2 linked regions of the Saccharomyces cerevisiae S288C genome follow. Changing the gene in region 2 together with the main gene of any one other region gives a genetic interaction. Each region holds a gene or a part of one and is shown on either strand. Other genes may lie near its edges. The genes, in order: NDI1 and COQ10.

Region 1 (4,301 bases), on a different chromosome or scaffold from region 2:
GTCCAATATGGTGTGTTTTATAGTGTTGAAAGATATGAATATTCCACAAGAATTAGTATTGGAAAACATCAAAAAAGCCAAAGAGTTTTTCCAATGACTGAGGTGAGTAGACGAAACATTCGGCAATTGAGTGTTTGCGGGGCATAAGAATTATAAAGCTTTCGTTACGTATATACAAATGGGATTTGGCGTATAAAATAAATAGAGAAACATAAGAGGAAGAAATAAATAATCACAGATATATATATAGGACAATGGGAGGAAAAAGCTGAAGTGATCAACCAATCTTGTCGGGGTTTTTTGCTTGTGCATTAGTCAAGCATCATTTCGAAAAAAGTGGGAATATATAAATAATAAAACATCATGTGCATTTTTTTGTGCGTGTGTGTGTGTGTTAGGTTTTGTTTAGAGGGTTTTAGAAAAAAAAGGATGCAAACTCAGGAAAAAACGGTGCCTACCACCTTTTTTCCTTTTTCCAGAAAAGGGCATGTTAATTTCATCTATAATCCTTTAAAAAAGTCTCTTTTGAAAAATGCTAATTTAATCCAGTCGAAAAAGACCTTTAATCTCGATCTTGCAGATAGAATCATGGACAAGTACAAAATTCTCCATAAGTAGAAGGTCATTAAGCCACCACCGGTGTAAAATGTTCTCTTACCGGAACGTATGGTTGCAATGGCCCTTTCGGATCCCAGGTATGCTAAGGCACCTAAATCGTTGTATTTGAAAGGTTTAAAGTTGTTCTCCTCGAACAAGAGATCAATTTTATCCTTTCTTGAAGATAGATTCTTTTGGAAATTTGGTATTTGAGCCATTTTATCAAAATTCTTGGCCAAATATTCGGCCTCTTGGTGCGCTACTTGGGCGGTTGGTGGCAACCCAGCAAATGCATTGTCACCAATGGCGAAAATGTTGTTGCTGCCTTTCACCTGCAAAAAGTCATTCACTGCCAATCCTCTCTTGGACGAGTTTTGCTCAGGAATTTTCTTGAAAAGGTCAGTGATTACCGGTCTTGCCTTGTTACCCGTGGCCCAAATCAAAGTACCGTATGGAATAGTTTCTTCGGTTATTTTACCGTCTTCGTGTTTGGTCTTTGCCAACAATTGCTTTTCTTCAACTTTGGCGACAGCCGTTCTCAGATGTACTTTGATCGAAGTGTTTTCTAAATGTGATTGCGCGTATGATGAAAGCTTTTTCTCAAACATATTCAAAACGATGGGCAGAGCTTCGACCAAGTGAATTTGGACTTCTTCGGCCAATGCAGGGAGAAACTTTCTCAGGTCCTGGTGAACATAATCCTGTAGTTCACCAGCGGCCTCTACACCAGTAGGCCCACCACCAACCACGACAATGGACAGTAGTCTTCTTCTTTCGGGATCACCCTTTGGCAATAAGTTAGCCTTCTCTAGATTGGCGGCAAAAGTTCTTCTTATTTCCAAAGAGTTGGGAATTTCCTTCAGGAAATGACCGTAATCAGTGACCCCAGGAATACCAAATGTGTTAGGTTCCGCACCTACAGCACTGATTAAATAATCGTACTTAATTTCAGCAGGTTCTGCTTGATGCAGCCCTAGATGGTTTTCAGGTTGGTATAGCTGGCTAACGGCAGATAATGATTTTATGGTAACGGTATTCCTGTCGGGATTGATAGAGGTGGCTTCTGCCTCATAGTAGGTAACGTTCCCCTTTTTCTTGAGAGCAAAATTAACGATGGGCTCAATAATTGACTTTTCGTCTACTGTCCCAACTGGTGCAGAAGGTAACAAAGGCGTAAATAAGAAATAGCTTCTAGGAGAGATGATGGAAACGTTGTACTTCTTGGTGTCAATGTGCTTTAAAAACGAAATAGCTCCCCACCCCGAACCCAGTATCAGCACGTTTGGTTTGTCGCTGTGCTGAGGGTCAATGACTTTCATGGTCTTAAAAGATGTAGGACCTGCTCCGGAGTTTTCCACCCCTGTGGATCTGGTGGAAGCGAATCTGACTAGCGTATTCGTCGAGGTGAGCAACCTCTTGTTACTATACAAATTCTTCGATAGCATAGTGGTTTTTAGTTTCTTCTCTTGGGTAAACGTGTAATTCGATGATGTGATGAAACTGACACCCTACCTGAAACTCCTCAATTGGTAGTTAAAACTCCTTCCCCACTATGCCCTATACATCTTATATATACCCTGTCGACGTTGCAAATACCGGCAATAACCAAGAGCGCTAAGGGGGAGCACTCTTATTGTGGTTACCCGGACGTTCAATGCCTTCATATGATTGGTCCGAATGAATAGGTCATGAGAAAATGCATATTTTTGAGGCATTTCAGCAATGATCGGCAATCTGCACATATTCGTATTGTTTCCCTGAGTAAGTTATTTGCGGAAAGAGACATTCTATTGCTTTGGAGTATTTTGTGGTCTTCGACAATAAAGCGAAGGAATAATAGGTTCGTTGCTAGCGACAAGCAACACATAGTTGTAGTGATGCTATAGCAAAGAAAGGTCACAGATTCATTATTGACCTTTTAAATGGTGCCCAGTGGCAATTGCCGTTTTAGCATTCTTTAAATGCGTAGTATATGAGTTTTAAAGTGCTTTGTTGTTCACGTGCTTTTCACGTGTATGATTACTTAACCGGGTAGCGCCGGTCTTTAATATGCTTTCCAGATTAGGAAAGAACATAAATAAAAACACAAAATAAGAAAGTGTCAATCATCCGCATTGAAAGAAAGAAAAGATTTTTTTATCCCTCAATTGTACATGAAAACAGAGACCTTTCAAAACGTATTTTAACATTCTTTTACTCTTTTCTTGCACCTGCAGCCTTAGGTCAGTAAGAAAAAAAGTAGGTAGCAATGAGCCCAAGTCCATCAGTGTCGCCAAGAAGGACGCTCAATAACAAATCATCTTACATCAATAACAGCGGTGGGCTGGTCCTGCCTCCTACGCAGTTTAATTTGAATCAGCAGCCAGTCCTGAGCTTCCAACAAAAAGCGACTTTCGATTCCAACCAGCAGTTTTTCTATTATCCAGAGTCACCCACAAAAAACCTGAGACCAAGGTTTAACAGTATTTCGCAGGTTAATAAAGGAGTTAATGAAGACCATTATACCGGGGGCGGTAGCAGTAATAATAACAGGCCATCTAGATATACAAATACCATGGGCGCTGCAAACACCAATGTAAATTCCCATCCGCATCATCAGTCGGTGTCGCATTTAAATTCTAAATCTCTTAAATTCAATCAAACGAAGGAAGTGAGCAGCATAAATGAAATTATTTTTCCTTCCAGAACGTGTACAAAGAAACGGTATTTTACCAAGCCAATTGATTTGTATGGTACAAGAAGTAGCACTAGTGTGGCACCTAAGTTGACGAATTCTCCCACGAAATCAAAAACAAATTTCAACATCAAGAAGTGCATCTTACCTAGGTCCGTCGTTACCACATATAAATTACCATCTCCAGTGCACGAAACGATAGACGATATATCCAAAAAAATCATAATCCTGCTAATTTCGTTGAAGTTTGAGAAAAACTATCACTTCTTGCAACCTATTCAATTGTCCACAAATAGTAAGACACGGATCTCAAAATCACTAGACGAATTATGCGGAGTGCAGCTGACATCAACGTTACGGCAACAAAAGCAGCTGCAAGGTAACAGCAAGCCCGTAAAGAATCTCCCTAATTCCAATGCGAAGCAGAGAGCCGGGGCCAGTGTTTCCACAAATGCCAACGAAAGCTTTGAATTGAGTTTTGATGGAAAGGCAATGGATAGATCTGATATATTTCGAATGGTAGATTCTTTTAGCATCGCCATTTCAGATGAAGATGAGGAAGATGAGGAGGAGGATAGCTTTCAGCAGAGAAGTGCGAACAACAGAATCCTCCCTGCGGAGATACTAAGTAATGAACCTTTGAAATGATACGGATTCTCTGTATTCTGTCTATAGTATTTATATACCAATACATTTTTCCGCACTTTGAAGTTTTGCATTTTACTTAATGTAGTTTATTATTAGTTGCCAAAACGAAACATTTAACATGTGAATTAAAAATACAAAAAAAAGCCTATTAACGATCTAAATTTATGACAAAAGACATATAATTATTTTAATGATGCCTTTGTCACAACCGAACACAATATCTTTGAAAAGTGATCCAGCAATCGAATTCAGAATTCGTTGTGCCATTTTTGCCTTACGTTTGCGCCATTGTAATTTCTCTGTGCCGTCTTCTCTTCACTTTATTTCAATATTATCATGCAGTAAACAAGTTGCAGAATAATAAATAATATACGTACCAAAT
Region 2 (2,997 bases):
ACCAGAGTAAGTCCGTCGCTTGTGAATAGAATGATCGATGGTGCTAAGAAGGTATTGAAAAATCTGCAATGCGAAGTTAACATAACGGCAGATGTCTGGAGAGGTGAAAATTCAGGGAAGAGTCCAGGCTGGGGTATTACTTTGGTTGCTCAGTCCAAGCAGAAAGGTTGGAGTTATTTTGCAGAAGATATCGGTGATGCAGGTTCTATACCTGAAGAACTTGGTGAAAAAGTTGCCTGTCAATTATTAGAAGAAATATCAAAGAGTGCAGCAGTTGGTAGAAACCAGCTTCCATTAGCAATTGTTTACATGGTCATCGGGAAAGAAGATATCGGCAGATTGAGAATTAATAAGGAACAGATAGACGAAAGATTCATAATCCTCTTGAGAGATATTAAGAAGATCTTTAATACTGAAGTCTTTTTAAAACCAGTTGACGAGGCGGATAATGAAGACATGATAGCTACTATCAAGGGTATTGGTTTCACAAACACAAGCAAAAAGATTGCATAGCATGTTCTAATATTATTCAATAGATATTAGACCACTGTATATAAGTTATATATATATATATGATTATTTAGGTGTAACTTCACGGACAACTGTCTAGAGTATAAGATTACTGGAGGATCATTGATGATTTCCTTTAACTCTTTTGGGTCATCTAAAATATCATCAAAGAGCGTATGCGAAAAGCGCGTTAAGAATAGATTACTTCATGACAAAATATAATTTTCCAGCTCAAAAATGTTTGTTTTTTTATGTAGACACTATTTTCAAACTATCTTTGTTAAATTACTCATCACCATCGTTGAAATCCAGATTAATCCAACTTGGCCATGCTAACTCCTTTCTTAAAAAATCTTTGAATATCGTAAACAAAAACTGTTCTAGTTCTCCAACACTTCTTAATACTGAGCCCTGTCCCTGATATTGTTCCCCTATTTCGGTTTCAATCTTCATACTTCTCACAATGGATATTCGCTCCAATGGCTTAGTAGCTGCCAGAATTGGCCCCTTAGGATCTAAAACAGTTTGGTTGTCATCCAGTGCAGGATCACTAACATCACACAGAAAGCTAAGAAATAGTTGCTTTGATAAACATGCAACAATGCAAAGGGAATGGAGACCGATATCACTGATAGAAAGTTTTACTGGCAAAGTCATAAATTTTTCTACGGGATAATTCAGCACAAGGTCGGCACCAATCGTAACGAGTAAGTCACCCTTGTACTCGACCTCTAGTAAAAATTGTATATCGTTGGGGGATGGCATCACCACAGGCGCCTCAAAATCATCTTTAGGTCCTTCATGATTAGCTATAGTACGATCAGGACAAATATGTTCGCTGTCCTCCTTGTTGTCATTATTTTCCTCCGTCTCTTGATCAGCCTCCTCTCTAATTGAATCATAAAACTCATCTAGGGGATCTGTTATTTCTTTCAGTGTTATAGCAGGACCAACTTTTCCCAGATCAAAATCTAGTACCCTAAGATTACTTACGTAGCTTGGTAGTTGCGTATTTTGTAAATATGAATTTAAATGTTTTCTTATAAGATCATTCAGTCTATTGTCAGATTCCAATGTACTCCAATTAATATCAAAAGACATTTGGATTAGTTGAAGCCAGCTTATGATCTGTTTCAACCGTTACATAGGATGGCATGCTTTTTCTCATGTTAGAGAAAAATTTAAAGATCGAGTTGTCTGAAAAACCTGAACTATTTAAAACGAATAATAGGATAAGGAGCCAAACAATAAACGGCTAAAGATACCGTGGAGAATGGTTTTGATAATAAGGCCCTCACAGACATTGATATTATTCAGGAAAGCGATGCTCAAGCCAATTGGGAGATATCCTCTTAAAAGAAATTTTTTTGGTTTGAGCGGTACCAATCACACTATTAGGGAACAGCGATATGTTTTGCGCAAGGCCATAAACGCCCCTCCAAGCACAGTCTACGCTGCAGTGTCAGAAGTTGCCCAATATAAGGAATTTATTCCTTATTGTGTTGATTCGTTTGTAGATAAACGAAATCCTGTGGATAACAAGCCTCTCATTGCGGGGCTTCGAGTTGGTTTCAAACAATACGATGAGGAATTTATATGCAATGTTACCTGTAAAGATACTGATCATACGTATACCGTTGTTGCAGAAACAATATCTCATAATTTGTTTCACCTTTTGATTTCGAAATGGACCATAATGCCTCACCCAAATAGACCAAATGCGGCCATGGTAGAACTTCTATTAAGATTTAAATTCAAATCTCGGATATATAACAGTGTCTCTCTAATATTTGCGAAAACTGTGACTGAATTGGTGATGAACGCATTTGCCAAAAGAGCATACCATTTAGTAAGATTAGCAATGCTAAAACCTTCTTCTAAAGAAGGCTCTCCGTGATATCTTCCGTATAATTTCAGATAACAAAGATCATGCCATCCAGGATAAGCGTATGCATGGTTAAATTTTTAGACTATAGAACAAGATTTTTCTGTATAGTTATGTTTATAGTATTTAAGCTTTCTAACAAGCTCCAGTAGGGGCGGAGGATACAAACAAATATATTTTGCTGCAAAATTTCCTGGTCTTCCGTCGCAATCAACAAGTTGATACGCAGATGCACCATTTTATTCATTGGCAAAGTACGATCAGTTTAGTGCTTGTATCTGTATGCGAAAAAAGAATGGTGTACTAAAAACAGCGCATGGTGATGGCGAGGAATTTACACGTATCCTCTCATTAATTGAAGTATTAGGTTTTCGAGTCGCACTTAGTGTAAATGAGGTGTAGAAAGGTGGGGACGCAATTATTCCTTACCGTCGAGCAGTTGATCCAGATGAACACTGGGAGGACGGTACTTCTTTACTTTACCCTGACTAACATTTGATTTTGGAGTAGAGCGGTCTTCAGAGTCGGGACTTAAATTGTATGATGTATAATTGAATGGATTAGTGCTGTCTGTAAACTTTCCCAGTATTTGGGTAGCACCA

The links.
Region 1: of COQ10 (region 2) and NDI1, changing one suppresses a phenotype caused by changing the other (phenotypic suppression), as found in Saccharomyces cerevisiae (one study listed by BioGRID).

The regions. Positions count from the first base shown.
Region 1 is NC_001145.3:27,766-32,066, forward strand, and holds NDI1 (NADH-ubiquinone reductase (H(+)-translocating) NDI1), read right to left. Parts: upstream 2,043-4,301; coding exon 501-2,042; downstream 1-500. Other genes in the region: Rag GTPase GTR1, read left to right, coding at 1-97; YML119W (uncharacterized protein), read left to right, coding at 2,846-3,919.
Region 2 is NC_001147.6:308,529-311,525, forward strand, and holds COQ10 (ubiquinone-binding protein COQ10), read left to right. Parts: upstream 1-1,783; coding exon 1,784-2,407; downstream 2,408-2,997. Other genes in the region: RCL1 (rRNA-processing endoribonuclease), read left to right, coding at 1-513; ERMES complex subunit MDM12, read right to left, coding at 796-1,611; CSI2 (Csi2p), read right to left, coding at 2,814-2,997. UniProt on the Saccharomyces cerevisiae protein: Required for the function of coenzyme Q in the respiratory chain. May serve as a chaperone or may be involved in the transport of Q6 from its site of synthesis to the catalytic sites of the respiratory complexes.